Elephas maximus indicus: one gene and its partner. The protein of the gene in region 2 interacts with the protein of the main gene of each other region in a pairwise test. Links are inferred from orthologs where the notes say so. Each region holds a gene or a part of one and is shown on either strand. Other genes may lie near its edges. The genes, in order: HSPB2 and DMPK.

Region 1 (15,127 bases), on a different chromosome or scaffold from region 2:
GGTCCTATGTCTGGAGGACATCTCATAGTTTAAAGAGTGCTCTAAGAGCTTTATATGTTTTTGTTCAATCCTGGCAACACTGAGGGAAACACATATTATTGTTCCATTTTACATGGGCCAACTAAGGCCCTAGGACTTTGATGCCTTACTCAAAGACAAGGACCAAATTTCCTTTTTATTACTATGTCTTCTGGATCTAACACTGCACCTGGCACACAGTAGGTATTCAGTAAATATTTATTTAATAAATGGATACATGACTGAATAGTAGGAAATGAACATAAATCCCATGTACTGACTGCAAATCTTATGTACTTTCCAGTGTGCCTCACCTGTATCTAAATATAATGATACCTTATTTATAAATAAAACATCCTCGAGATCTGACCCAGGCATGGAATGGTATAGCCAAGAAGGCAGTGGACAGGATAAAACCAGGCCCAAGGGTCTAAAGTGATAACAACTCTGGGAAAGAACAAGACTACCACAAATAATTTATTATGAGATTTTCACATACACCATATTCTTCGTTCTTCAAAACAAGTTTATGATATAAACAAGATGGGTTATATTAGCTATATTTTACAGATGAGGGACGGAGAAGTTAAGGGACTTGCCTAAGGTCACCCAGCAATTAAGTGTGAAAGATACATTCAGATATTCTTTGGATAATCTCCTTCTTCCCACTTCTGCCCTTTTAAATAAACATTTCTCCAAACTGATTTGCTTGCTCTGGAAGGCAATATTATGTAGTGGTTAAAAGTTGGGGCTCTTAAGTAAGACAAGCCTGGGTTGGAATCTTGGTTCACTTACTTACTAGTCATGTGGCCCTGAGCAAGTTACTTAACTTCTCAGAGTCTCAGCTTCCTCAACTGTAAAATGGGGGGAAGGGGAAAACCACTTCCTCACGGAGTTGTGAAAATTAAACGAGATTATTTGTAAAGTGCCTGGCACAGAGTAAATTCTCAAATGCTATAGCTATTATCATCTCTGGGGAAGGAGAAAAGGGAGAAAAAGAAAAGGGGAGAAAGAGGATGACAAAGAGAAACAATGTCTTATTCACCATTCTAGCCCTGCTCTGGCCATTCTAGACAGCTGGCTTGGCTGTGTGTTTTGCGATCTCCTGAAAGGAGGAATCACAGAAAGGGGTGCTGCTCTGGTGCTAGAATCAGGAAGTGCCAGCAGAGGGAGGTGGCAGTGGGAGGTCGGCAGAGAATTATCTCCAGGCTCTCTCTCACTCACGCTTGTAATGAAGGGGAAGGTATTCTTCTCAGCTTAGGACCTCCACATCCAACAACATGAGACTTTTACCCTCCTCCGCTCTCTCCCCGTACTCACCAGCTTCTCCCGCAGCAGAGTCGGTTTCCCATGGTGCGCGGTCTCCGAGGGAGCCCAGCTGTTTTTCTACATTAAGAGGCTTATGCATTTCCTGCTTCCCAGTTTAGTTTTCATTGGCAGCTGGCGGGGAGTTTTTGTCAGTGTCAGATTTCAACCTAGCAGGTTGGACTTTGGAAGCCACCTGCTGGAAGGATTCCCAGGTGACTCTATTCCCAGCCAAGGTCAGATCAGCACACACCAGGCTCCAGGTGAGAGCTATCTCACCTTTGGGATTTGGGACTCCTTTGATGAAGCCATCAACTTTGAGCTTCAAGGTTCAATAAAAAGAAACCTGAGATAGAAAAGGGCTCTGAGTTTCCTTCGGAAATGCTTTCCCACTACATCACATTGTTCTTGAAATGCCTCTTCTACAGTGGAGTAAGAGGGTTCCACCTTATCTTCCTCAGCGCCACTCAGGTTAAATGAGTTTCACTTGGCAGGTAACTACGGGTGCCGGTTCCTTAACATTCTTGTCCAGAATCTGGGTTTGAATACTGGAGTCTCTAGGATCCTTGAATTTAGGGAAATGGATTCCTTGTATATTCCCCCTGGCTATCAGCATTAAGGGATAAATCACTTAACCTTTTAGGTCCTAGGTTTCTAGGACTATAAAACGGAGAACTGAACTCTTTTTCTAATCTCCTTTTTGGTCTAAAAGCGTATGATTCTATGATTGTATTGGCCTCAGCACTACTTAATCACGCCCCCATCCCTGGTATAGAACCAAAGACCCTCCACTTACCCCTCAACCCAATAAGCCAAAGTTAGACTCATTTCACACTCACCAGCAGCTAGGACGCAGTGGAGCAAATTCTTCTGTAGAAGATATGGGCTCTAGGAGAATTTATGAAACGTGTAAGGTTTGTCTTCAGAGCTCTCGCCCCCATCTTTACTCTCTTTCCCAGATGCCTAGGTGTTTATGTGCCCCTTATAGATATTTGGGAGGAGCCCTAGTGGCACAGTGGTTAAGCACTCGGCCGCTAACTGAAAGGTCAAGGTTCACAGCCCCCCTCCCCCCCGCAGGAGAAAGATGTGGCAGTCCTCTTCCGCAAAGATTTACAGCCTCAGAAACCTTATGGGGCAGTTCTACTCTGTCCTGTGGGTTTGCTGAGAATCGAATTGGCCCGCCAACAGGTTTACGGATATTCAGGAACCACCACCCAGCCTGCACTCCAGAGTACCCTGAACTCTTTAACTCCTCCCCATCTTCTTTCTTTACGAAAAACAGGAATAATAAGAGTGACAACCTTATAGGATTGGGGTGACGATTAAATAAAATAATGTATATAAAGCTCTAGTCCACTACCTGGCACTGTTTCATTCCACTGTGCATGGGATTCCCATGAGTCGTGCCGGCTCCATGGCAGCTAACAACAACGTCGTTATAATTCTTATTATTCTAGTGTCTCTGCTAACTCTCAGATGATAAAGCATTTTATGTTACTTTTTTTTAGTTTTGTGCCTAGATCATGGCACTAGACTATTATCTCATGGCCGGCTTCTCCCTGTAATCCACTCAGTATTCTGCCATTAACTGTATTCTTTTTGTCCTATTACACTCCCCACTCCCTCCCCACAAAGCCATTACTGATTTCCTGTTACCTACAGAGTAAAGTTCAAACTTCTTAGCCTGGCACTCAAAACCATAAACAATCTGATCCCTTTCCAGCCATATCCTTTGTAATCTAAAGGAAAGCCCCTAAAATATCGTAGATGACCAAAAACTCTAAAGGTACTAACAGTGTATTGTGTAGCCAGGAAATCTATGTACTTTAAGCAGCATTAATAGAAATCTAGAGTGTTAAACACAGGGATTTTTTTCTTCCACTGAACTCTATACCATTCCATGACTGGAAATAATACTTTCAGGTCTAGATGCTGAATTTCAAATTACATTACGAAAAGGCAATGTGTTCAAGAGTATGGGAATTGCTATATGATACAGTTAAAGAACTAGTTATGTTTAGCTGGGAAAACGTAAGCCTTAGGAGGAGAGGATGGTTATTTTTAAATACCTGAAGGATTTTCAAGTGAAAGAAGAACCGCATTTATTTTCTGGACATAACCAGAATCAACAGGCAGAAGTTACTGAAATGAGGATTTTGGTTCAATAGAAGGAAGAACTTGTAACAGATACATCAAAAAAAAAAAAAAAAAAAAAAAATGGAGTGTGTTACTAGATGAAGTTTTAAGTTCTCTGTCACTCAAAATGTCCCAGCAACAGTTGGCTCATAATGTGAGAAGAATATGGTGACGAATTGGACTAAATCAGAGGTTTTCATATTTTTTCTAGCTAAGCAATCTTTTCTATAAAGCTCGTGTCAAAACCCCAATTACAAAACAGATCAAAGCTGTTCTGGTTGAAGTCTGAGTAGGATGGATCCCTTTTTAAAAATTCTTTTTTCAACTAGACAGTAAGATTCCTGATAGTAGAGAATAACATACATATTTTTTATATTTACAGTGTATAACCTTTAGGATGTATTATCTGGGGCTTGATAAATATTTGTTGAATGAATGAAAAAGCAAAAATATAGTTATTTTTCTGAGGCATGCTTACGTTTTTAATAGAAGGCAACCTTTAACCAAAAATTGAATTCCTCAAGTGAGGGTCCTTACCCCAGTGGTCCATGAATCGCTAAGAGGGATGAGAAAGCCAAATTTGGGGGCATGTACATTTTCTGGGAAGAGGGTTTATGGCTTTTATCAGATTTTCAAAGGGGTCTCTAACCCAAAAAGGTTAAGAACCACCACTTGAAAGGAAGAATTTGAGGTATTTTTTTACCATAGATGTGTTTTGGGGCAGGGAGGTCTTCTGCACACCCCCTAAATCTTACGCATGCATGCTCTCTTGACTGCAAAGCATGACTGAGGGGTCATGACCTTAGGCTTTCCTAAATACACCATGCCCCTAGTCTTAGGACTATACTTAGTACTAGACGTCCAAGGCAAGCTTCCCTGGCAGTCACCACCACTGTATTTTTTTTTTTTTCTGTCTTATTACACTAATAGTCCTGTTGCCATTGAGTTGATTCTGACTCATAGCGACCCTATAGCCCTAGATCCCCTGCATTGGGTCTTGGGTTGACTGGCTGAGGTGATGTGATAGTTCCTGTCTTTCTTTGGATGTTCCAAGATTAGAGACAAATGCTTTCCTTCTTGGGCCTCCTCTGTGCGGAGCATGAGAAATCTTTGTGGTGTGGTGATAATGGTAGGGATTCCTGTGTCTGTGTCCCTGTCTATGCATATTTAGTCTCTCGGAATCAGAGACCATTTCCTGTGAACAGACCTCAGCATGAGAAAATGAAGTATTTTGTTTTAGGCAACTCTCTCCAGCCAGTTTTCCCAACCCCTACCCAAAAAGGGCCAGACAGTCTGGAGACTCTTGTTTTTGTGTCTCTAATCACCAGCTCAGACAGTGTCCTCTGGACTGTTTGGATGGCATATCCCTTTCCCCTCCCAGGATCACTCTCTCTTTTGTTGCATTGTGAGAAAATTATGGCTAGGAATTTGATCTGGAGCCAATGCCAGCTTCCGGGCGTGATCTCAGCATCCAAGTGTGACGATGGCACATCTAACTGAGGTGCTTTATGTCTAGCCAGCTATGACCTCCTCCCTCCCTGCTCATCCCTTCCTCTAGGCCACAGAATAGGGAGCAGCACAAACAAAGCCCTGAGATTTGGGTTTATTCAACTCTACCCAGAACTAAGCCAAAGGCTATGACACGTCCCAAGGGACCAAACAATATATTGTGGACCATGCATTTTTCCCTTCCCCCAAGGATGCTGCTACCTCTGGGATGGTGGGCAGCTGCTAGCATCACGCCTTGGGAAGTAAAAAGGGATTTGCTGGGTGCTGGGTCTGTGGCAGTCAGGGCTCAACTCCGGCCACCTCCTCCTCTTCATCTGGATCAGGAGGTGCCGGGAGCAAGGAGATGTAGACCTCATTGACCTCTGTGTCCAAATGTCGCCCACCCCGAGGGGCCTCCAAGTTAAGGATGCCATCATGGGAGAGAGCAGCACGGACCCGCCAGGGGTCGACATCAGCAGGCAGGACATAGGTGCGGCAGAACTCCCGGGACACGAAGCCATGGCGGTCCAGGCGCTGGGGGTGCCGGGCAGACACCTCCAGCAAGTTGTCCACAGTCCTCACGGTCACCTCATCTGGGGTAAAATGGCTTACGTCCAGAAATGCCTGGAACTTGCCCTCACTGAGCCTAAGCTCTGAGGCCCCTGCCCTGCTGCCCTCCCCAGCTTGGGCAGCCCGCGGCCGGACATAGTAGCCATGGTAGAGGGTAGGGGTCAGGATCTCTTCTGGCAGGAGGCCTGAGGGGCAGAGAGAGAGAAAGAGAAGGAAAGAAGCAGGATGAGGAAGGTGAGGTGGGAACAGGGATGTTTTGAGAATTGATCAAGAGATGAGGACGGATTGGGACCACAGGAGGGATTCAGGAGAAGCAGGGAGGGGAAGAGAAAGGGACAAGGTGACTGGGAAGAGAAGGAGGCAGCTGGGGAGACAGAACTGAGAAAGGAAATGAGATGGGGTGAGGGAGGGTAAACCAAACTGGGGCAGGGTGGATAGATGGGGAACAAGCAGGCACACCAAGTGGGGCAAGGGGCAGGGATCTGAGTATCGTGGCACCTAGTCTGTCCTGAGGGCAGTAAGAAAGAGAAAGAGCCCTCTTACTTGGAGGTGGGGGAAAGCAGCCTGGGGTGGGAGATGGCTCGCCCCAGGAGTTCAGTTAAGCCTGAAGTGGGGTGGAGGCCAGTAATGTTGGGAGGTCAGCCCAGAATTTCAGGAGGTGGGGGTGGGAGGCTGGGGGTGGCGTGTGTGCCATACCTTCTCCGAAGCGCTGTTCACCCAGGCGACTCGGGTTGGCAAATTCGTACTCGGTGGTGGCGGGGTGGGCATGCGGCACCGAGCGGCCAGACATGGCTGTAGACGCGTAGGCGGCCCTGTTCCGAGCTGCAGCCCCAACAGGCGCAGCGCGACCCCTCCTGCTGCCCGAAGAGCAGCTCGGTCGGAGGTGGGGGCGGGGTCTACACCACCCAAAATAGTGCCGAGCCTCTGGAGGGAGGGCGGGAGCGGGGGCCTGAGTGCGGGCGAAGAGTGTGAAGCCAGCGCCGTCCGGACCCCCGACCCCTCCCCCCCTTCAGCTGTCGCAGGGTGCTTGAGATGACAGCTGGGGGTCCTGGCTCGGGAGAGGGCTAGGGGAAGGGAGGCTGGCGCCGGAGCTAAGGAGAGGCACGGCTGAGACCCTCACGAACAGTTTGCACATTTTCCACACCACCCTTTCTCCTCCTCAGTCGCAGGCACAGTGTGTCGTACTTCATAAAGCACTCCTGGATGTAAAGTTCTGTTGAGCCTGGCAGAGTGAAAGATGAAAGAAACTTTTCTACCCTCTCTGTGGGCTTAATGGGGGTGGTGTGGGGTGGGGAGAGGGTTTTCCTGCCCAGATTAGTCAGGGTCCTCTCCCGAACCCAGGTCAACCCAGGGAAACCCACGCAGACGCCTGGCACTGACATGATCACTGCTTCAGGGACCCACAAGAGTTAATGTTCCTGGGGCACAGCCTCCGAAGATTCCAGTCCCTGCACAGGCCCAAGATAGTTGCTGGCCCGATTCCCCTGGCATGCAAGACCGGAGAGGAGGGGGAGGGGCACAACACCCGCCTGCCTGGGATTCCTGACTCTGTCCCAGTCCCCAAGAACAGAAGTGGGGGGGTGGGGGGCTGCCATGGGATGTAGATGAGAAAGCCAGTGAAACAAGACCAGGACAAGTTACTGGCCAGCTCAGACGTGTTTGTGTTTCTCTTTTCTTAGCTCAGTGAGTACTGGGTATGTGTCACACTGCCAAATCCCCGATCACAAGTCTCCATGAACGGGCGGTGAGCTGGGATAATAAAACCCCTGACATCACCATTCCAGAAGCTTCACAAGACTGCATATATAAGGGGCTGGCTGTAGCTGCGGCTGAAGGAGCTGACCAGCCAGCTGACCCCCCACACTCACCTAGCCATCATGGACATCGCCATCCACCATCCCTGGATCCGCCGCCCCTTCTTTCCTTTCCACTCCCCTAGCCGCCTCTTTGACCAGTTCTTTGGAGAGCACCTGTTGGAGTCTGATCTCTTCCCAACTGCTACTTCCCTGAGTCCCTTCTATCTTCGACCACCCTCTTTTCTGCGGGCACCCAGCTGGTTTGACACTGGGCTCTCAGAGGTGAGTCTCCTCTCTGCCAGAACGGGAGAGCTCTTCCTGGAACTTTTCTTCTCTTTCTTTTTTCCTTTCTTTCCCTGACTAAACCTGATTATGCTCAAGTCTCATAAGTGTTTCAGTTAGATGTGTGTCCAGACATGAAGAAAGATAAGGTCCCTAGCACCCACCTCTCCCAGTCACCTGTTTCTATTTGAAGCTTCTCTGCATCCTATTTATTACGTTTCTCCGTGCACTATGAAGATCATCCTCTGTCTGCTAACTTCCAAGCAGGATGCCCCTTCTCTAATTCGGTTCATAAAGATCTGCAGTAGAAAAGCTGCCTCCAGACTTCTTTGCTCACCTCTTATGATGTATCATACTCCTGACAGATTTTATCATCTCAAGTTTCAGAGCCAGGAGACAGTCCTCCCTCAGCTTGAGCTTTCATCCCTGTTGGGTGGAACCGGAGACAACAACCATTATTTTCTTCCTTTCTATTCCCTCTTCTGTGATTTTCCGCATTTCTTATAGTTGTAACTGGGCACTGCCTGTATCTAAGCCTTATGAGGAAGGAATGTAGGTCTGGTCTTGGGACCCCCTCACTTGTCCTAAAAGAGTGGGAGGAGTACGGGGTGAACAGATATGGTTGGCAGAAGCTGTCACAGATAACACTCTGGTTTAAAAATATTCAAGTATGAGTAAACAGTAGCTGAGTGAGCAAGGGCGTTGGAAGGACAAACAGGACCAGCAGAATATTCCAGATTGAGTGGGTGGGAAACTTGGCAGAGACCCGAGCAAGAAGAAAGGGGCCTTTGTCTTACAGACAAATGACAAGAGCAGGCATTGGGGTTAAGCAGCAGCAGAAGCCATGCCAGGCCCGTCCTTGTGATTTGTTAAGTCCCCCTGGGTGGCCTGTCTTTCATCCCTGTCCCTGTAAATAAAGTTTGGGCTTGATAACCAAGTGTTATGCTTTGGGTACCACTGTGGTGGCTACCCCAGAGAGCCATACTTATTCAAAAAGAGATTTTTGGCTAAAAAAGAAGAAGATAAACTACCTGGACAGAAAACAACTCTACAGAATGAGATTAACACCAAGATAATTAACATTCCTGGCATCTTTTCTTCTATCCCTTCTTCCTGTGCCCCATTCTGCTATTTCTAGATGCGCCTGGAGAAGGACAGGTTCTCTGTCAACCTGGATGTGAAGCATTTCTCTCCAGAGGATCTCAAGGTCAAGGTGCTGGGAGATGTGATTGAGGTGCATGGCAAACATGAAGAACGCCAGGTATGTAGCTTGTGTTTAGTTCCACCCATTCATTCAGTGCCTGCTCTATGCCAGGCAGTGCCATCAGCCTCTGAGGCTGGCAACATCCCAGTCCCAAGCCGTAAGGGCCTACATCAGGGTCACACATCGGTAGCTAGGAGACTAAATGAGTGACAAACCTGTTTTGTTTCAGGTTTTTTGTTTTTGGGGGGCAGAGAAGTGGCCTGTGTTGTTTGTTTTGATATGATTGCCTTAGAGGGGATGTATGGAATGTTCACTCTTCATTGAAGCCCGTGGTTCTCCGCCTTAGCCAATTAGAATCAGGGGAGTTTTAAAAAATCCCAATGCTCAGGTGCACTCCAGTCTAATTAAATCAGAATATTTAGGGGTGGGACCCACGTGTAAGTAGTTTTTAAAGCTGACTAGGTAAATCCAGTGTTGAGTCTAGGCTGGGAACCCCTGATTTAGGCATAGCGCTTGTCAGACACCTGGTTGCTTCACATAATGACATTGACTGCATCCACCCTAAAGGCATTTGAGTTTGTGACTCCTTTAGATGTTCAGGAATCTACTGCTTAAACCCATCTTATTGCTGAACTACTTGGTTTGTCTACTTTTCAGAACTGTACTTAGCTCCTAATACCCTAGAACCCACTGGTAATCAGTTCACTGAAAGTCTACCTGAATAAATGCTTGAGATTTAGCAAGTATAAGGGTTAGGGCTAAGTACTCTTTGGGGATTCTGAAGAATGGAACAGCTTCTTGTTACTCCTTGGGAGAATTTTTAAATGAACATGCTTCTCACCAATTAGTGAGAACTTAGAACTTTGTACATCAAACAGAACCGTTTGACACCCTCAAGCTGATTCAGCTTTGCTCACTCGATTTAAGTTTGGGTCACAGTCTCCCTGGATGGAGTAACTGTTCTTTAGCAGCAGTCTTTTTGGTCTGGAACATTCCTGGAGTAAGGACAATTTCTGGGCTTCCTCAGGGACTGGCCTGCTGAAATGAGATTCATATCCTATAGGCCCAGCCAACATTGATCTAAATCTTTAGGAAATATACCTAAACATATCCATGCCTCAGGGTCTAGGGAACTATGAAGTTCTGGGGGTGTTTCAGACTTCTCAGACTCTTATTGGTAGCAGTGACCACTAAGTGACTTTGTCTTAGCACCAAACTGAAATGAACAGCTATTTAGCTTTTTCTCATCATGCTGCCATGGCATTTGGTTCTACCTAAAGGGAGTAAGGAGCTCTGGTAGTGTAGTGGTTAAGAGCCTGGCTGCTAACCAAAATGTCAGCAGTTCAAATCCACCAGCTACTCCTTGGAAACCCTATGGGATTTCCTACAGGGTTGCTATAAGTCGGAATCAACTCAATGGCAACAGGTTTTTTTTTAAGGGGAGCGGGGCTGTCTGAGGTTTTGGCGAGAAGTATTATTTCCTGCTCTTATCTCTCTGCTTCTTTCCTCGTTCCCTTGGATTAGGATGAACATGGTTTCATCTCCCGGGAGTTCCATAGGAAATACCGGATCCCAGCTGATGTGGACCCTCTTGCCATTACTTCATCCCTGTCATCTGATGGGGTCCTTACTGTGAATGGACCAAGGAAACAGGCCCCTGGCCCTGAGCGCACCATTCCCATCACCCGTGAAGAGAAGCCTGCTGTCACTGCAGCTCCCAAGAAATAGATGCCCTTTCTCTAATTACGTTTTTTAAAACAAGAAGCTTCCCCACCACTGAATGAAAGCCTTGTGACTAGTGTTGAAACTTATTAATGCTAAGGGCAGGCCCGTTATTAAGCTAATAAAATATGATTCAGCAACAGATAACTGTCTTGTGTTTGAATATTCACCATGTATTAAAAAAAGTACATGTACAAATACCAACAGATGTGTATTTAATCGTCACATTATGATTTTGGGGGCTCCTGAAAAAAAAATTTTTGGGGGGGGATTTTAGAGTCACAAAGGCTGGCTCTACCACTTACTAATGGTGTAAAATATAGGCAAGTACCTTAACCTTTCTGATTTTCATGTTTTCTATTTATAACATGGGGCAGTGATTTGTACAGAGTTGTTCTAAAGGGAAGGAGCCCTGGTGGCGCAGTGGTTAAGCACACAGCTGCTAACTGAAAGTCTGGAAGTTTGAACCCACCAGCCACTCCACAGGAGAAAGAGGTGACAGTCAGCTTCCGTCAAGATTACAGCCTTGGAAACTCTATGGGGCAATTCTACTCTGTCCTGTAGGGTCACCATAAGTCAGAATTGACTCAATAGTAATGGGCTTAGGTTTTTTTTTTTTGTTCGAAGGGGTAAATTAAGGAGAAGGAGTAAGTAAAGCCCCTGCCAGAGTTCTAAGAATGTCAGTTCCTCTTATTCCTCTCTGATTTTAGCCCTCAGTTTCAACAACTGGAGTAAACTCTGGAAAACAACATACAAAAGATCTTAGTACGTGGCTAATATTAATTACGTCACTGGGGAGTAGATGTGCCTGCAGTGTTATTTGACCTTTTCCTACCGATAAGCATTGCCTTCAGCTGATTCACAAGGGCAATAAACAGGACTTGGGTGAGTATCACTGAACAAGCCTCTCAGATGCGGTCTCTGAATTACCCAGCAAACGCCTATTGAACTAAGACTGGGAGACATCCAGTCTGATGACCCAGAAGGAGAAAGTTAAGTTTCAGAATTACTAACTGATCAATAAGTGATTCTATTATTTAGTTTAAACAAAGATATTATCCTACAAAAATACCTCCATTTCACTTTTGTGGGTCTAGACAAAACTTCTAACCCAATTAATGAAAAACAGGCCTGCTAGGGGCAGTTCTGGGAGCCCTGGTAGCAAAGTGGTTAAGAGCTCAGGCTGCTAACCAAAAGGTCAGCAGTTGGAATCTACCAGCCGCCTCTTGGAAACCCTATGGGGGCAGTTCTACTCTGTCCTATAGGGTTGCTGTGAGTCGGAATCCAATCAACAGCACACAACAACAACAACAGGTTATCTGGCATAAGCGTTTAGAGATTACTCTAATTTTTCCTCTAGCAGCTTCAGAATTTCTTACTTCTCAAGAGTTGCTACCTGACCATGAAGTAAAGTGCGATTCTTGCCCTCACAAAGCCTACAGCTTTTAAAATATTCTATACAAAATAGTTGTCTAAGTTTTTCATGATGCAAGGGCATGGAACTAAGGCAATATAAATTGTAAATCTATACAGGTTCAAAATGTCGTTAATAACAATTTCCTAATAGTCTGAAATGCTATGATCTAGCCAGAAGTCAGATTCTTCTAAACTTAATGATTTTTGTGGCTCTGTTGTAGACACTCCTGGCTGCCTACCCAACAGCTACTTACCCCCTTCAATTTGTCAACAGTACCTCAGAATGGTTTAGGTATTTATTACATTCTTCCTAGGCCATGTGCTCAGGGAAGGTGAAAAAAGTTCTGACTGTTGGTGGACAATCTTGATTAGTCCAAATAAATCATGGAAATTCCGTTTCCTCTACTAGTGACTGATTTTGAAAGGTTATCACCCAATTTGCATCAATAAGCCATGAAGGAAGTCTGCTGGAGAAGCTCCTAGAAAAGGCTTCTCTGTTTGTTTGTTTTTAAGCATAAAGAAAGTTTTATTCAAAATATATTAAAAAAGGCAAAAGCGGGAAGCCAACAAGCATGCCGGAGTTCAAGGAAATATTACAGAACAGACAAAAGAAGGAAAATGGACAAGCATGCTGCTAGAGTCATGTCTGCCCGAGTCCCAAGGCTTCTAAGCTTTTAAAAAAGATTCATATACAAAAAGCGATCTTTTTGTATATGAATGTCTCCGGATGTTGGGGCATGAGAACGTGACACCCAAAATGTGATATGCTGAAGAAGGGAGCAGGAATATGGTATGACTCTCGGTCCTTGACGGATCATTGAATTACTGAATTAACCAATTCTTGAACCTATATCAAGAAGTCTCATGTCTTATTTTTGTTTATTTGGACATGAGTTTTCTGTTACTGGTAGGACTTAAATAGTGTAAAAAACTAAGGAACACTCTAGGAACTGTGTATCAAAATAATGATTTCTGATATAATTTTAAGGTTGCATTAACTATAATCAATTTAGTGAATTATAAGGGGTGATCTCAAGCAGACATAATTTTAATAACTTGGTCTTAAATCACACTTGACTTTTAGATAATGATATTTATGTTTTAAAAAAAATCTTCAGACTCACCCTGACATTACTGGCATGAATCAAAAAAACAGAAAATAACAAATGTTGGAGAGGCTGTGGGGAGACTGGAACTCTCATGCATTGCTGATGGGAACGTAAAATGGTACAACCATTTTGGAAAATGATATGGTGCTTCCTTAGAAAGCTAGAAATAGAAATACCATATGATCCAGCAATCCCACTCCTAGGAGTATATCCTAGAGAAATAAGAGCCATTGTTGAAGAGACATATATGCACACCCATATTCACTACAGCATTGTTCACGATAGCAAAAAGATGGAAACAATTTAGGTGCCCATCAACAGAGGAATGAATAAACAAACTATGGTCATACACACAATGAAGTACTATGCAACTGTAAAGAACAATGATGAATCTGCGAAGCATCTCACAACATGCTGAGTGAAATAAGTCAGTCACAAAAGGACAATTATTATATGAGACCACTACTATAAAAACTCATGAAAAAGTTTACACACAAAAAGAAACAATCTTTGATGGTTACAACGAGGGAGGAGAGGACTGGGGATAGAAAAACACTAAATAGACAATAGATAAGTGGTAATTTTGGTGAAGAGTAAAATAGTATACAATACTGGGGAAGTTGGCACGACTTGTACAAGGCAAGGTCATGGAAGCTCCATTAAAAAACCCATTGCCATCAAGTCAATTCTGACTCGTATTGACCCTATAAGACAGAGTAGAACTGCCCCATAGAGTTTCCAAGGAGCGCCTGATGGATTTGAACTGCTGATCTTTTGGTTAGCAGCCGTAGCTCTTAACCACTACGCCATCAGAGTTTCCATAGGCACATCCAAACTCCCTGAGGGACTGAAATACTGGGCTGAGGCCTGGGGACCACGGTCTTGGTGACCATCTAGCTCAACTGGCATAGCATAGTTTATAAAGAAAATGTTCTACATCCTACTTTGGTGAGTAGCGTCTGGGGTCTTAAAAGCTTGTAAGCAGCCATTTAGCATACTCCACTGGTCTCCCCCTGTCTGGAGCAAGGGAGAATGAAGAAAACCAAAGACACAAGGGAGAGATTAGTCCAAAAGATTAATGGACCACAACTACCACAGCCTCCACCAGACTGAGTTTAGTATAATTAGATTGTGCTCTGAGAGGGATCACAATAGAGGGTCCTGGACAGAGCTGGAGAAAAATGTAGAACAAAACTCTAACTCACACACACACAAAAAAGACCAGACTTACTGGTCTGACAGAGACTGGAGAAACCCTGAGACTATGGTCCGTTAACACGCTTTTAGCTCAGTAATGAAGTCACTCCAGAGCTTCACATTTCAGGCAAGGATTAGACAGGCCCATAAAACAAAACAACACTAAATGGGCACACCAACCTAGGGGCAAGGACAAGAAGGCAGGAGGTGACAGGAAAGGTGGTAATGGGGAACACAAGGTCCAGAAGGGGAGAGTGTTGACATGTTGTGTGGTTTCCAACCAATGACACAAAACAATATGCGTACTAATTGTTTTATGAGAAACTAGTTTGCTCTATAAATCTTCATCTAAAGTTCAATACAAAAAATCTCTTCAGAATATGCAAGATTACCTTTTTTCTTGTTATCTTGTCTAATTAGACTAGTTCTTTACTGTTACTGTTTTCCAGATCACATCCTGTTTGCGGCTAGCATAGAACTTTTCTAGTTCATTAATCTTGAGGTTTTTTGGTGCTTTGTAACCAGCTCTTCCAGAATTCTACTTCGTTCCCTGTGTATGAATTATGTTAGGAGTTTGTTGAGGCAATTATAACTAGCATTTGAAAAAAAAAAAATTAGCCAACATTTATTGAAGGTCCCTGAATGGCACAAACAGTTAAGTGCTTGACTACTAACCAAAAGGTTGTCAATTCGAACCCACCCAGAGGCACCCCAGAAGATAGACCTTGAGATCTGCTTCCAAAAAGTCACAGCCTAGAAAACCCTATGGAGCAGTTCTACTCTGCACACATGGGATCGCCATGAGTTGGAATCAACTCAATAAATAACATTTATTGAGCACTTACTGACTTACTGCCCAGTGGACACTGTGCTAAGTGCTTTTT
Region 2 (15,754 bases):
GGGTTAGCATTAATCAATAGCTGGTCAGATGAAGTCCTTGAAGATTTGTGGAGACATTAGGGGTCAGTGGTGATTTGGAGGTCATCAATAGTGGGAGGAATGGTCGGAGATGCCGTGGTCACTTGGGGACTTTAGGATGTCATTGGAACACAGTGGCGGTCAGGAGGGTGCACGCTAGGAGTCTAAGGAAACATTAGAGTCACCTGGGGTCGTCTGGGAGGTCATGGGAGGGGCAGGATACGGACGAGGCCTCCTCTTGCGGGGGCCCTCCGTTGCTAGGCAAACGTTCTCCGGGCGCCGTTGCTAGGGACTTGTGCTTTCCAACTGGCCACACCCTTTTCCGCCGCGCCCCGCCCCCGCAGCCAACCACAAGGCGGTAACAAGGCGTAGCCTCGCCTACCTTTTCGCCCCGCCCACAGCCCAGAACCGTTACCCGAGCGACCACAGGAGCTGGTCCCGCCTTCCGAGCCTGTTGCCAATCGAAGAGGCGTCGCCCGGGCGACGACCCCACCTCTTCCGGCGCTGGCCCGCGGCTTCCGGCGAGGGGCCCGGCGGCGGACGGCGGTGGGGCAGCGGCGGGGCCCGGGGGGCGCCCAAGATGGCGGCGGGCGGCGCGGAGGGCGGCTCGGGCCCCGGCGCCGCCATGGGAGACTGCTCCGAGATCAAGTCGCAGTTCCGCACCCGCGAGGGCTTCTACAAACTGCTCCCCGGGGACGGCACCTCTCGCAGGTCGGGGCCGGCTTCCTCCCAGACCCCGGCGCCGGCTCAGCCGCCGCAACCCCCGCCCGGCCCTGCCTCCGCCTCCGGCCCCGGCGCCGCAGGCCCCGCGCCGTCCCCACCGCCCGCAGGCCCCGGGCCTGGGCCCGGGCCCGCGCTGCCCGCCGTGCGCCTCAGCCTAGTGCGGCTCGGAGAGCCCGACGGCGCCGGATCCGGAGAGCCGCCCGCCACGCCCGCGGGGATCGGCGCGGGGGGAGACCGTGTCTGCTTCAACTTGGGCCGCGAGCTTTATTTCTACCCCGGCTGCTGCCGCCGCGGGAGCCAACGGGTGAGCGGCCCTCATCGTGGGGCCCTGGGTACTGAGGGGATGGGGGACTCTGAGGTGACCCAGGAGGGTTCCGGAATTGTTATGGGTCCTGGAGATCTGCGTCCTAGGTGTGATGGACATCCTGGGGGATAGGATTCTTGGAGGTGATGCAGGATTCTAAAACATGACGGGAGGCGCCGGGGGTGCTGGCATCTTGGAGATGGTGGATAATCTTCAGGTCATGTTGGGGGGCTCCCGGGTTAGGCGCGGAGATTCTGGGGTGGTGAGCATTCCGGGGGTGATGGTGAATCTGAGATGATGTGGGATCCCCGCAGTTTTGGGGTGCAGGCATTCTGCAGCGATGGGGAATCCTGAGTTGGATGCAGGCTCAGAAGCGATGGAGAACCCAGAGGTCTGGAGCAGATGTGGGTGTGGGTCTTGGGACTTGGGGAGTCCAGAGGTGAGGAAATTCTGGAAGTGATTGGGGAGCCTTAGCCGTAATAGGAATCCAGAAGATGAATGGAATCCTAAAGGAAATTGGGGTTCAGGAGGTAATGAGGGTCCTGGTGGAAATGAGACTCTTTAAGCTGAGAGGAGAATTCGAGGTGATGAGACCCTGGTAGGGAAAATCCTCAGGTGTGATGCGCATCTCTGAAAATGATGTAGGTCCCAGAGGGTATGAGGCCCCAGCAGTTGAGAGGGAGGTCTCCAGAAGTGATCAGAGTCCAGAGATGATAAACCAAAATGAAGCAAACCCGTTACCATCAAGCTGATTCTGACTCATAGTGAGGCAGTAGGACATAGTAGAACTGCCCCATAGGATTTCCAAGGAGCAGCAGGTAGATTCAAACTGCTGATCTTTTGGTTAGCAGTCGAAGGTTTAAGCACTGCGCCACCAGGGCTCCCTAGAGGTGATAAAGGTTCCTCAAATTGGAGGGACAGTGAAGTTTACTGGGTTCCTGAACTGTGATTGGTTGGTAGGGGGGAGGTCCTGAGGTTTAGGGACTCCAAGGGGAAGGAGACCCTGGGATGTTGGGTTATAGAGTCCTGGTTGGCCCTGAGGTTTTTGGGGGCCTGGAATACTGTAGCGCTAGGGCCCAAGCTCCTAACAACAACAACAGGGGCCCAAGGGAGTTGCTGAGATTACAGGGCAGGACTGGAAGGAAATGGGGGCTCAGGGACAGTAGAGACTCTGGACCCTAATGCTCTGGGCAAGGGTGTCCCTGAGGTTGCAGGGGACTCAGCTTTGGGGAGGCAGTGTGGCTGCATGGGGGAGGGCTCTTCCTGTGTGGTTTTTCTCAATACTCTGATTTGGGTCCCCCTTCCTGTCTGTGGTTGTCCCTGCCCCTTCCCACTCAACCATCCACCTACCCACTTCCCTCAGGGATTTAACCCTGTTTCCTCTTCGTGGTTTTCCCCAACCTCAGCACCCTCTTCCTTCCTCTCAGTGGTTTGAGCCATTAACCCCCTTTCTCCCATCATTTAAGTCCATTGACCTCAACAAGCCAATTGACAAGCGGATCTATAAGGGCACCCAGCCCACCTGCCATGACTTCAACCAGTTCACTGCTGCCACAGAGACCATCTCCCTGCTGGTGGGGTTCTCGGCTGGCCAGGTGCAGTACCTGGATCTCATCAAGAAGGACACCAGCAAGCTATTCAATGAGGAGGTGATTGTGGGTCCCCAGGTCCGTTTTCCCATCCACCTACACACATGCACACACATACTGTTTGCCCCGGGACTGCATCTGTCTGAGAGGGCAGGACGAGGAGAGATGGGGGATGAATTGAGGTATGTGAGGTAGGGTGACAGACAGCAGCGAGTGTGATAACGGCTAACAGTAATGACAGCTGTGCCTGCTGTGCCCAGGCCCAGTGCTAACCCTGAGTTCTTATCAACTGATGGGTAAGGAATCATGATGTCCACTTTGCAGATTAGAGAACTGAGGCTAGCAAGTATTTGGGACTCGGGTGATTCCAGAACCCTTGCTCTTCAAATTCTATGCTTGGTGGGCTTTGGATTCAAGTCCCTGCTATGCCATTTAGTGGCTGTTCCTCTCAGCCTCAGTTTTCTTCCTCTGCGGAATGGTGATTCCTTTTCCTGCCTGACAGGACTGTTGTTGTAAACTTGTACACGGACTGTGCTCAGTCCTGGGCTGACTTGGCCCAAGTGCAAATGTCAGTGAATGATCTTACTGCTCGACTCTGCAGCAGGGGCTGTGCTTGGCCTGTATCTCTTTCTCTCTGGTCTAGAGGGAGGTGTTCCGGAAATATTCTCAGAACGAGTGAATGACTGAAGGGAGTGAGTGTATTAAAAATGCATTAGCTCATCCATTCAGAAAATACTTATTGAGTGTTTATTCTGTGCCAGACGTCGTTCTCTGCACTGAGGACGTCATATCACAGTGAGCAAAGCAGACAAAATTCCCTACCTCCATGGAGTTTTCAGTCTAGCTGGGGCCGCAGACACTTTTCAGATAAGTCTATTGTATGTCAGAAGGTGATAAGTGTATGTCAGAAGGTGATAAGCAGGGAAAAACCTTTGCTGTTGGGTCGATTCCAACTCATAGTGACCCTATAGGACAGAGCAGAACTGCCCCATAGGGTTTCTAAGGCTGTAAATCTTATGAAAGCAAACTGCCACATCTCTCTCCCAGGTAGTGGCTGGTGGATTCCAACCGCTGACCTTTTCAGTTGGCAGCTGAGCGCTTTAACCACTGTACAACTGGGGCTCCTTCAGGAAGTGTTTGGCAGGTTTTAAATGAGGTGGTCAGGAAAAGCCTCACTAGGAGGTGACATTGAAACAAGGACCTGAAGGAGGTGAGGAAAGTTACCTGGGAAAGTGAGTGGAGGGAGCACCTAGCACAAATGCCCAGAAGCAAGGCAACAAAAAAGCTGAGTGGCTAGGTGAGAGTTGAGGGGAAGCGGGTTGGTGAAGAGGGGCCAGGTCATGTAGGGTTGGGAAGGCCATGGAAAGGACTGGCTTTTACTCCTAGAGAGACAGGCGCCTCTGGAGCAGCCTTTCTCAAACTGGTTTTCTCTTCTGAACCCTAGAGTACAGAAATGATATACAAGACGATTTCCTCAATTCTCCCAAGGTTGAGAGGCAACTAGGAATGTTCTAGATACTGGGGAAACAATGAATTAATTACACATAATGGTGCCTGAGGGCAGTAGGCCTTTCTTTCTGGAACCCTGGTTGAAATAGGCTGCAGTGGCATGTACTAACTTACATTTCAGCAGGCTCTCTGGCGACTGTGGAGAATAGTTCACAGGCATGGAGGCAGGGAGGCCAGCTGGAGGCCGTGGCAGGAACCCAGGAGCAGGTTGATGGTGGTTGTAGTGAGGGTGTGAGAAAAGGTCAGATTCTGGGTACATTTTGAAGGTTGAGCCCACAGGATTTGTTGATTTGTTAAAGGATTGGATGCAAGTTGTGAGGGAAAGAAACAAAAATGCCTAGAAGGTTTCTGGTCTCAGCAGCAGGAAGGATGGAGTTGTCATTCATTCATTCATTCGGGAAATATTTTTGAGGCGCCTCCTGTGTGCACCATTCTATGTGCGAGGGAGAGGACAGTGAACCAGACAGACAAAGATCCTTCCTCTGTGGAGCTGACATTCTATGAGTACATTTCTTGCCTTAAACCTGACACAGTAGAGATTGCAGAAGGGGTTAGACAGCTAGCAGACAGTAGCCTGGAAGGCAGGGTGGTCTCCTTTCCAAGGATGGGACATCGAGGCTCCACCGAGCTCCCTGTGGCCACCTCATAGGCAGCCTATACTGCCATCCGTGGTGTCCATCTGTCTTCCCTCAGTTTGGGAATTTCTCTCTCAGAGGGGCCTGGGCCTGGCATGACACCAGCTATGTGAGCTGGGTCAGATCTGAGGGCCATGTTGGAGGGACCAGGAGGTCTGCCAGGGGCTTATTGCTTCCTTCCAGCTGCCACCCTGTCTCTCTTGGCAGCGGCTGATTGACAAGACCAAGGTGACCTACCTGAAGTGGCTGCCGGAGTCTGAGAGCCTCTTCCTAGCATCGCACGCCAGCGGCCACCTGTACCTGTACAACGTCAGCCACCCGTGCGCCTCAGCCCCACCCCAATATAGCCTCCTGAAGCAGGGCGAGGGCTTTGCCGTCTACGCTGCCAAGAGCAAGGCGCCTCGCAACCCACTGGCCAAGTGGGCAGTGGGTGAGGGGCCGCTCAATGAGTTTGCCTTCTCACCTGACGGCCGGCACCTGGCCTGCGTCAGCCAGGACGGCTGCCTGCGCGTCTTCCACTTCGACTCCATGCTCCTGCGTGGGCTCATGAAGAGCTACTTTGGGGGCCTGCTCTGTGTGTGCTGGAGCCCCGACGGGCGCTACGTGGTGACAGGTGGTGAAGACGACCTGGTCACTGTGTGGTCCTTCACCGAGGGCCGTGTGGTGGCCCGTGGCCACGGTCACAAGTCCTGGGTCAATGCTGTGGCCTTCGACCCCTACACCACACGAGCTGAGGAGGCATCAACAGCAGCCAGCGGTGACGGGGACCGGAGCGGCGAGGAGGAGGAGGAGGAGCCAGATTCTTCAGGCACAAGCTCGGGTGGGGGTGCCCCTCTTTCCCCACTGCCCAAGGCCAGCTCCATCACTTACCGCTTTGGCTCAGCTGGCCAGGACACACAGTTCTGCCTGTGGGACCTCACTGAAGATGTGCTTTACCCGCACCCGCCCCTGACCCGTACCCGTACCCTCCCTGGCACCCCCGGCACCACGCCACCAGCCACCAGCAGCTCACGGGGCAGCGAACCCGGCCCAGGCCTCCTGCCCCGCTCGCTGTCCCGCTCCAACAGCCTCCCGCATCCAGCGGGTGGTGGCAAGGCAGGTGGTCCCAGTGCGGCAGCAGAGCCAGGCACCCCGTTCAGCATTGGCCGTTTTGCCACACTCACGCTGCAGGAGCGGCGGGACCGGGGGGCTGAGAAGGAGCACAAGCGCTATCACAGCCTGGGCAACATCAGCCGTGGGGGTAGTGGGGGCAGTGGTGGCAGCGGGGACAAGCCCAGCGGCCCCACCACCCGCAGCCGGCTAGACCCAGCCAAGGTGCTGGGCACTGCACTGTGCCCACGTATCCATGAGGTGCCACTGCTGGAGCCGCTGGTGTGCAAGAAGATCGCCCAGGAGCGCCTGACAGTACTCCTTTTCCTGGAGGACTGCATTGTCACAGCCTGCCAGGAGGGCCTCATCTGCACCTGGGCCCGGCCAGGCAAGGCGGTGAGTCCCCCAGCAGCTCCCCAGAGCCCGGCAGGTGGAGGTGATGTGGGCTGAGGGCTTTGTCCGTGTCACAGACTGTAGCCCCATCGGATGAGGAGAAGCTGACCTCTCAGGTCTTAAAGCGATGGCTTCTCAAACCCTGCTACATCAGTCAGCAGAGAGTTGGGTAGAAGAGGCAACAGGGAGTGTTGGGAACTGCGGCCGGCTAAAAAGCCCTGTCTGAGGGCAGCCAGTTGGCATCAGGCGGAAGCATGGCCCAGCCTGGCCAGGTCTCCGCTTGTCACATGAAGCAGAAAATACTGCAGGCCAAACCAGACACATCTGTGGGCAAGCCCAAACCTGTGGGCCCAGCTGTCAGCCCAGGTCTTGGATATTTAGCCTCCAAGCCTGTGGCTGAAGGCACAGCTGGCTGTAGGATCGAGTCCAGGGATCCCGTCCAGCACTTCTGCTCATGGCGTGACCTCAGCAAGCCACCACCCTCTGACCTCTGTCCTACCACCTGGAGCAGAGAGGCTTTAAAATGGGCAGCTGGTGGATGTGCCCCCTCCCAGGGTGGGTGTGGGGTTCAGGAACCTCACAGTAGAAGAAGCCCTGGGGCCTGGCACCTTCCGAAGCCAGGAGCTGTGGTCTAAGGAGGCTCAGCTCCTGGGCATTCAGGCTTAGCTGCCCAGGCTGTCAGATCTTGGGGCCGCAGCCTTGTTCTTTGGAAGAGTGGTTTTGGAATCCTAGAGGCCTGGGTCCCTAGAACAAGAGAGCAGACTCAGGGTCTCCAAGGCAAGGGCATCGGAGTCTGGGGAGCCTGGCAAGCCCTGAAGGAGACCCCTCTATCTCCCTAGTTCACAGACGAGGAGACTGAGGCCCAGACAGGGGAAGGAAGTTGGCCCAGGTCACCCAGCAAGTCAGTGGTAGAGGTAGGACTGTCCCTTCCAGACTCTCGGGACCCCTCCCAAGTCAGAAGGGCACCCCAGCTTCCCCTTTTTCTCTGTACCTCTCCCAACCCTGCCCGCTCTGCTGAGGATCACCCGAGGACTTTGTTGTCTAAAAGTACCGACGTCGGGCCAGGGAAGGTAGCCGAGATGTGAGTGCCAAGCCTAGAGCAGTGGCCTCAGTCTGGGGGTCGGGGGTGGACTGCGGGGCAAGGCAGTGGGGGACTCCAGGCTGGCCCCTCCCCAGAGACTGGCGGAGCACAGGTGGTCTCTAACCCCTCCTGTCTCCCCCTCGTCTCCCCCAGGGCATCTCCTCCCAGCCCGGCAACTCCCCCAGTGGCACAGTGGTGTGAGCCGTGGACTGCGGGCGGGGTCCCCACCCTGTGCCCCCAGTCTCCTCGCCGTAACCTCCCTGCTGACCTCACCGATCAACGTATTAACAAGACTAACCATGACGGATGGACTGCTTTGGTCCCCGCCCTGCACAAAATCAGTGGGCAAACGGTCCCCCAGTCTGGCCCAGACATTGGGGGATACAGTAGCCCATGTGGCCTCAGCCTTGCCCCCACCCACTGCCAAGTATAATGACCCCTTCCTCTGAGACATCAGTGTTGTTACCCTCATCCCTGTCCCCAGCATGTGACTGGTCACTCCTAGGGAGAAGTCCCAGCCCTCTAGAGCCCCAGCTCTCTGTGCTGTGCCCCTCTGGCCTGGTGGGCAGGGGAGGGGGTGGCTGCCCCTTCTCTGGCCCCGCACCCTCCCCTTGCCTTGTCTGTCCTTTCCTAAGAGTGTTAAATTATGGATGCCCCTTGGGGCCCTCCCTGTCCCCCAGGACCTCTTATTTATACTAAAGTTCCCGTTTTCAAAGCCCCAGGCCCAGCGTGTGTCTGTTCCCTTCCGTGGAGGTATGGAGGGAGTGTGTCTGCTTCTGCTGCCCTTCTGGCATCAATCCACTAACCAAGGATGAGCCCTGGTCCTGCCCCATCTCCTCCTGCCCCTTTGTAATAGCAGGAAAATCTGAAGCCTGGAGGAGGAGTTACTTGTTCTCTATGCCTCCAGGCCAGCAGCTGGCCTGTTCTGAGCAGGGCCTCTCCCTCCATTCTCTCAAGGGCAGAGGGCAGCCAGGACCCTTGATGAGAGTTTTCAAAGTTGTTTTAAGTGCCCAAACTCCAATTGAACTATTACAGCTAAAAAGGGGCCTGCCCAGCTGGGGGTTCCCGTAGGCAGCTCCTGAAGTGCCTGGCAGGGGGCCCCTGGGCTAAGGGTCTCTCAGCTGACCGGAGGACCAGTCTTTGGCCCTTAGTGTCTCATCTGGGTCTTCTGGGGCTGAGCTTCCCTCTCCAGGAGAACTGCCTACCCCTGGAAAGAAAAAAAAATAAAATCCCTTCTGGCTGGCTGTCTGCAGCCTGAGGGGCGGTGTCTTCCCGCTCTACCCGCCACCCCCCGAAATGTCTCTGTTTCTAATCCCAGCCTGGGCAGGAATGTGGCTGCCCGGCCAGGCTCCAAAGAGCTATTTTGGGGTCTCCTTTGCCTGGGGGGCCTGCCTCCACTACTGGGCTCCCCCAGGCTTTGGCCCATGGGTCACCCCTTGTCCTGGCTCCTGAGGGCCTCCCTTCCCGGTTCTCCCCTCACCATTCCTTCCCCACCTCCTGCCAAAAAAGAAAAAGTTAGTGTAAAGCAAAGGGCCGGAGGGCTAAATTTAACTGTCCCAAAGTCGGAATCCATGGCTGAGTCACCAGAGAAGCTGCCCTGGCCTCCGGGCCCCCCTTCCCAGGCCTTGGCCCCTTTCTCCTCCCCTTCACCCCAGGGCTGGGGGGTGCCTGGATCACTCAGCCTCAGTTGGCCCCCTCTAGGGAATGGAGGGCTCATCTTTAGCAGCTGTCATACCCATAGTTGTCCTCTATGTGCCACCTTTTTATTGGGGGGGACGAGAGTTTTAGATTCTACACACATTCCCCCATTTAACACAAAAGGTTCAGAGGGGCCCTTGAAGGAGGGAGTGGGGGGGGGCTGGCTTGTGAGGGGTTAATGCTGGGAGGCAGGAGGGGGGCTGGACCAAGGGGTGGAGAGAAGAGGAGGAGGCCTCAGCAGCAGAGAGAAGTGGCCAGAGAGGCCCAGGGGACAGTTAGGGACAGGCAGACATGCGGCCGGGGCCCCAGGGCATGGTCAGGGGCTGCCAGGCCCCGTGACGGGAGGACCCCAAACCCCCGGCCCGGGGAGGGGGCCATGGTGCGTGCTGGCCGACATGTCAGCCGAGGTACGGCTGAGGCAGCTCCAGCAACTGGTGCTGGACCCCAGCTTCCTGGGGCTGGAGCCCCTGCTCGACCTTCTCCTGGGCGTCCACCAGGAGCTGGGCGCCTCCGACCTGGCCCAGGACAAGTACGTGGTCGACTTCTTGCAGTGGGGTGAGTGCCAGCTGCGTGGATCGCTGGGGGGTGGCAGAGGCTGGAGATGGGTCTGGGGGCAGGGGCCTGGTTTTGGGGGGTCAGATGCAGGGTGGGCATGGGGGAGATTGTTCCATTCAGAGACCCAGACCTTGAACCCAGGTCCTGGAGTGATATGCCAGCAGTGGCCAGGGCAGCTATGACTCAGAACAGGCTTGGGAGCTGGGCAGGCTGGGCTGAGCACAGCCTCCTGTAGTCCCCTGCATCCCCCTCCCCAAATCTAGGCCTAGGGCCATGCTGGCAGTCCCATCTCCTGGGATCTTCCCCCAAAATGGGCCCTCTGGCCTTCCCACCCTGGTTCTCCAGAGCACAGGGCAGGCGCTGAGGGACAGTATGGGGCAGCTGCCAGGGGCGCGGCCAGTGGGCAGGTGTTCGGCGCCAGCCTCTCCAGTTGCCCCAACAGGTGCCCAGGCACGGGAGGGTGTGGTGACTCAGGCTGGCCCTGGGGGAGAACCAGCTCTGCAGACAGGCGCCACCCAGCACCCCCTCGGTCCCCCAGGGTTGAGGAGGGCCAAGTTGGGGCTCTTCTGGGTGTGCCCACCTTATAGATTCCATGATCCCAACCCCTCCCCAGTGCCTTGGTCCCTACTAGCCTACTAGTTGATTACTTGGTCTGCTAATCCTCCTAGTTCAGGGCCTCCAACCTTCCTGCTGTCTCCAGTGTTCCTCTTACAAGGTCCTTCCAGGAGGATGAACAGGCCTGGGGATCAGGAGGGGAGATGCTGCAACCTCAGCTTCCTGCCTTGTGTGCCCCCCTCCCACCCAGCCCAGGACTCTGGTTTGTGTCTCTCTGACACCTGCCACTCTGTGTCTGCCACTTGTCTGTCCCTCAGTGGCTTGCACTTGGTCCTTGGCCTCTGTGTGTCACTGTATATTTGCTGCCTCCCCACCCATTCCTGCTCCCTCCTTGCCTGTGTCCAGCCTTCTATTCCAGGCTGGGCTCCTCTCCATCATCCTCCTCCCACTTCACAGGTGGGAAGGTGGAGGCCAGAGGGCCAGGCCACTTAGCCTCTGAAAACACTTCTCCCACTTCCCCCAGCCCTTAGGAACTCTCCCAGCCTCCCTTTTGCAGAGGATGGCAGCCCTGCTGGCAGGGTAAACTGAGGCCTAATGGGGGCGGGGGTCTGGCTCTCCAGGAAGGAGCACTCCTTTTGTGGCCCGAGCCTGCATCTAGTGGCCCCTCCTCCTTCAGGCGGGCGGGGGAGGGGGCCTGGGTTCCCACTGCCTTAAAAGGGCTCAATGTCTTGGCTCTCTCCTCCCTCCCCCGTCCCTCGGCACTGGCGGGCTCTTCCCTGCTGGCCCACTCTGCCCCAGCCCCGTAGGGCCCCTCTCTGCAGCCTTATTTCTTACTGGCAGAGGGCACCCAGTCTCCCCCATTCTTGCTTGTACTGGTCCCTTTCTCCGTCCTGCCTCAGGTTCCCTGCTTCTTCCACCTTCTCAGAACCCAGGCCTCCCTCTCCCACTGTCCCTCCACCCCAGGCCAGAGCCCCTCTCTCACTGCTGTGTTTAACATCCCCAGCTGTGTGGGACCTGGGGCCAGTGACTTCACCTTTCTGAGCCTTGGTTTTCCCACGTGTAAATGAAGGGTCATCACAGAGCCCTCCTGGCATCTGGGAGGAGTAAGCTTGTCCACCGCTGGCTCTGTCTCCCTCTGCCTTGCCTTCTGCGGCCTCATCCCCAAGCCCAGTGTTCTGGTGTGGTACAAGAGCCACTGCCTCTGCACCTAGATACTGGATGAAAACGCATGTTCCAGACCATAACCCAAGACTTACTAAATCAGAATCCTGGGGGTGGGGCCCAGGAGCTGGCATTTTAACCGTCACCTTGGGCGGGGGGGTGGGGGGGTGGACGTTCCCAAGCCCAGGGAAGTCTTAAGCACTGTGGCCTTATTTCTGCTCCTGCTGTTCCTCAGGGCCTCCCCTTCTGCAGTGTTTGTTACCCGACTTTGCACCCTGTTCCCCTTTGGCTCAATGCCCTGTCCCCAAAAGGACTTCCCAGGCATCTCATCTCGATGGGAAGGGAGTTTTGGGTCCTCAAAATCTCTCACAGTGGGTATGTGGGAGGCAGTCCCTAAGGTGAAACGGAGAAGCAGTGAGAGAGGGAGGCATAGAGGCAGAGACGGGGGAGAGCGAGAGGCATAGAGAGGAGACTGAGGGGCAAGGAGGAAGTCATCGAGGGGCAGAGATGGGGAGACCGAGGGACAGGGAGAGGAGGGCACCGAGGGTGTCCAGTGTCTGCCCCAGTGACACGCAGTTCTCGGCCTCCCATCCTCAGCGGAGCCCATCGCGGCGAGGCTTAAGGAAGTCCGACTGCAGAGGGATGACTTCGAGATTTTGAAGGTGATCGGACGCGGGGCGTTCAGCGAGGTGAGAGCGGAGCGGCGGCAGGCAGGGCTAGCCGGGGCAAAAGACGAGAGTGGACTTGCGGTGGGCGGGGCCTTAGAAATTGATGAATGGCTGAGTGCTAGAACCTGACCGGGCGGGGTATGGGGGCGGGACCTGATGGGGTGGGCGTGGCGGCTGGGGGCGGGGCCCCAGCGGGCGGGGATGGAGTGGAGTACCGCCTGGGCAAGCCTCGCCCTCGGGTTCCACTGCCGCGTCCCACCTCCGCCTGCGCCACCCTGCTTTGACCTTTAGGTAGCGGTGGTGAAGATGAAGCAGACGGGCCAGGTGTACGCCATGAAGATCATGAATAAGTGGGACATGTTGAAGAGAGGCGAGGTGAGGGCCGGGGTTGGGTGTGGGGGTGTGGAGGACCTTACCTCCCACCCCGATTCAGCTCTTCCGTGTGCCGCTTAGGTGTCATGTTTTCGTGAAGAGAGGGATGTGCTGGTGAACGGAGACCGGCGCTGGATCACGCAGCTTCACTTCGCCTTCCAGGACGAGAACTACCTGGTGAGCGCGGGCCACGGTGACTGGAAAGAGGGACCGCAGGCCCGGGGTGCCAGTTTCGGGGCGGGAGGGGGAGAGGGAGGAGCTCTGGGAATGCCTGGGAATGCCTGTGGTGGTGTGTGGTAGGAATGGGTCTCAGGTAAACGAGAGGCCTTCCTTACCTGGGGTGGGAGACGTCTCTTACCGCTCGTTTCTCCAGGGTGATTCTGGGGACCTCTGTGCAATAATGTCTTTTCTGGGGAAGTCTTACCTGGAGTGGGATTAGCACTCTGGGGTCTCTATGTGGGGTCACTGGACAAGGGGCACTTTGGGCCTCGGGAGATATCTGGAGTCTTTTTTTTTTCCCCCGGAATGTCTCTGGGGGAGTCAATCTCAGGTGACATCTGGGAAGAACATTTTATTTTGGGGGCGGGGTGTGCTCTCAGATTTGGCCTGGGAGATCTCTTGGGCTGTCTCGGGGCTGGAGTTGCCGGTTTTCTGTTCGCGGATGGAGCGTCTCTGGGAGCCTTTGTCCCGGGTGATCAGCGAGCGGCCTAGAGGGGCTACTGACCCCCCATAACATGCCCCCTCCCAGTACCTGGTTATGGAGTACTACGTGGGCGGGGACCTGCTAACACTGCTGAGCAAGTTTGGGGAGCGGATCCCGGTCGAGATGGCGCGCTTTTACCTGGCTGAGATTGTTATGGCCATAGACTCGGTGCACCGGCTGGGCTACGTGCACAGGTGGGCGAGGCTGGGGCTGAGGGGCGGGGCCTAGAGAGGGTCCACAGAGATGAGGGTACACGGAGATGGGGCTCACGGGGGGGCGGGGCCTTAAGGGCCGGCCCCAAAAGAGATAGCAAAGGTTGTATTCTTGGGAGGGTCTTGGGTCCCTGAGGGGTGGGACTTCACCTCTGGGGCCCACTGGGGGCGGGGCCTGAGGAGTAGTGTCCAGAGTTGTGGAATCCCCACAGGGGTGGGACCTGATGAGGTGGGCCTGGGGGCGGGGCCTGGAGGGGTGGGAACTGGAGAGGACTGCCCCGAAGAGATGCTGCCTAGAGGGGCGGGGTCTGGCGGGTTGGCGGGAAGGCGGTGCACTTATTCTCCCTTCCCCTCCCGTTCCCTCTCTTCTTCTGCCTTCGACGCAGAGACATCAAGCCGGACAACATTCTGCTGGACCGCTGCGGCCACATCCGCTTGGCCGACTTCGGCTCCTGCCTGAAGATGCAGGAGGACGGAACGGTGAGCGGGTTCGGCCGCCGAGGGGCGACTGAGACCACAATGAGGAGTGGGCTCTGGCGTGGGGCGGTGCCGGGTTAGGGGAGGGACTTATATTACGTGGGTGGGGCTTGTGATCCATGGGCGGGGCTAGATCATGGGGCAGAGCCAGAGCAGAGGAGGGGCTAGATCTGGACGTAGTATGGAACTCTGAGATGGAAGAAGGTGACCCAGCAGAAGTAACTGGGTGTGGGGCAGGGTTGGACCAGACAAAAGGAAAAACTAAGCCTTTGGGGCGTGGTTAGGAGGAGGAGGAGGAGCAGAGTTCAAGGATGGGGGAGGAGCCAGAGCCCGGAGGGGCAGGGCTCGATCCCAGCTCTGGTCCTGTGGTGCAGGTGCAGTCGCTGGTGGCCGTGGGCACCCCGGACTATCTGTCCCCCGAGATCCTGCAGGCCGTGGGCGGTGGGCCTGGAACTGGTAGCTACGGACCGGAGTGTGACTGGTGGGCGTTGGGCGTGTTCGCATATGAAATGTTCTACGGGCAGACGCCCTTCTACGCTGACTCCACGGCTGAGACATATTGCAAGATTGTCCACTACAAGGTGAGCGCCAGCCGGAGAAGCCCTCATGCCCCTCTGCACGTGCTCCCTGGCTAACATCTCCCCTCACCACCTCCGGATAGGAGCACCTGTCCCTGCCACTGACAGACTCAGGGATCCCCGAGGAGGCTCGAGATCTCATCCAGAGGCTGTTGTGTCCCCGGGAGGCACGGCTGGGCCAGGATGGAGCAGGCGACTTCCGGGAGCATCCTTTCTTTTTTGGTCTTGACTGGGATGGACTCCGGGACAGCGTGCCCCCCTTTACACCAGACTTTGAGGGCGCTACGGACACGTGCAACTTCGACGTGGTGGAGGATGGGCTCACTACCATGGTGAGCGGGGGCGGGGTAGGTACCTGCAACCCCTGCTCGCGACAAAGGGGACCCCCATCTCTCCTCCATAAGGTTGGGGTAATGACAGTGTCCACCTCCAGGCGCCCTGAGAGCATTAACTCATCAGAGCATCTGCTCTGTCAGTGCTGGGGATCCAGTGGGGACCTTGACCCACAATCAAGTGGCATACACAGCTGCATTCCCAGACAGTGACTCCTGGAGAGATCAAGGCTAGGACCAGGCAGTCCATAAGGGGTCCTGACCCAGAATGAAGGTCAGGGAGGGCTTCCTGGAGGGGGTTATCTGAGCTGAGACCTGGAAGATGATGGGAGAGAGGAAGGAGAGGGCCGTAACAGAATCCTCCTTCCTTTAGCTGTCTATCTCACACAATGTTGACCAAGCTATCCCAGAGTGCTTGCTCAACTGTGGGTGCTCTTGTGCTGGGCAATGCCTGGTCCCTGCCCTCATTCCCTCAGGTCTAGAGAAGTATATACTTATTCTGTGTCAGGTGCCCTGAAGGAAAGCAACAGGATACAAGAAATAATGGGAGGGGCTGCTTTAGATAGGTCCCAAGTTGGGGTGGATTTTTTGAGGGGGGACATTTCAGCCCACATTGGACTGGGTGGGGGCCAGCCCTTCCAACCATTGGTCACTTCTGTGCTTGTTTTGTGCAGGAGACGCTGTCAGACATTCGGGAGGGTTTGCCGCTGGGGATCCACCTGCCTTTCGTGGGCTACTCCTACGCCTGCATGGCCCTCAGGTAAGAGCTGGCACTGCGCTGTCTCATGAGAAAGAGTGGGACCGGGAGTCCAGAGTTTCCTCCTGGCTCCTGGGCACAAGGAAACCGTTGCTGATTCCAACTCATAGTGACCCCATAGGACAGAGTAGGACTGTCCCATGGGGTTTACAAGGCTGTAAATCTTTATGGAAACAGAGGGCCACATCCTTCTCCTGCAGAGCCCCTGGTGGGTTCAAACCGCCGACTTTTCCATTAGCAGATGAGGGCTTAACCACTTTGTCACCAGGGCTCCTTTTGGCGCACGGTAGAATTGCAGGATCTGTTTCGGAATCTTACTGTCTTGGGACCAAGACTCTTAGGAGC

What was found.
Region 1: the proteins of DMPK (region 2) and HSPB2 interact in a two-hybrid assay, tested with the Homo sapiens proteins (2 studies listed by BioGRID). The link is inferred for Elephas maximus indicus from reciprocal best matches to the Homo sapiens genes DMPK and HSPB2.

The regions. Positions count from the first base shown.
Region 1 is NC_064825.1:6,981,007-6,996,133, forward strand, and holds HSPB2 (heat shock protein beta-2), read right to left. Parts: upstream 6,952-15,127; 5' UTR 6,308-6,951; coding exon 6,214-6,307; intron 5,703-6,213; coding exon 5,248-5,702; 3' UTR 5,198-5,247; coding exon of another isoform or gene 5,170-5,197; 3' UTR 5,048-5,169; downstream 1-5,047. Other genes in the region: C7H11orf52 (uncharacterized protein C11orf52 homolog), read right to left, coding at 2,163-2,211, 5,170-5,197; CRYAB (alpha-crystallin B chain), read left to right, coding at 7,395-7,595, 8,734-8,856, 10,324-10,527. UniProt on the Homo sapiens protein: May regulate the kinase DMPK.
Region 2 is NC_064829.1:103,856,672-103,872,425, forward strand, and holds the start of DMPK (myotonin-protein kinase), read left to right. Parts: upstream 1-9,262; 5' UTR 9,263-9,434; coding exon 9,435-9,594; intron 9,595-11,907; coding exon 11,908-11,999; intron 12,000-12,269; coding exon 12,270-12,353; intron 12,354-12,431; coding exon 12,432-12,527; intron 12,528-13,098; coding exon 13,099-13,247; intron 13,248-13,651; coding exon 13,652-13,745; intron 13,746-14,116; coding exon 14,117-14,323; intron 14,324-14,403; coding exon 14,404-14,667; intron 14,668-15,326; coding exon 15,327-15,412; intron 15,413-15,754. Other genes in the region: DMWD (dystrophia myotonica WD repeat-containing protein), read left to right, coding at 599-1,045, 2,512-2,694, 4,986-6,263, 7,100-7,341, 7,495-7,774. UniProt on the Homo sapiens protein: Non-receptor serine/threonine protein kinase which is necessary for the maintenance of skeletal muscle structure and function.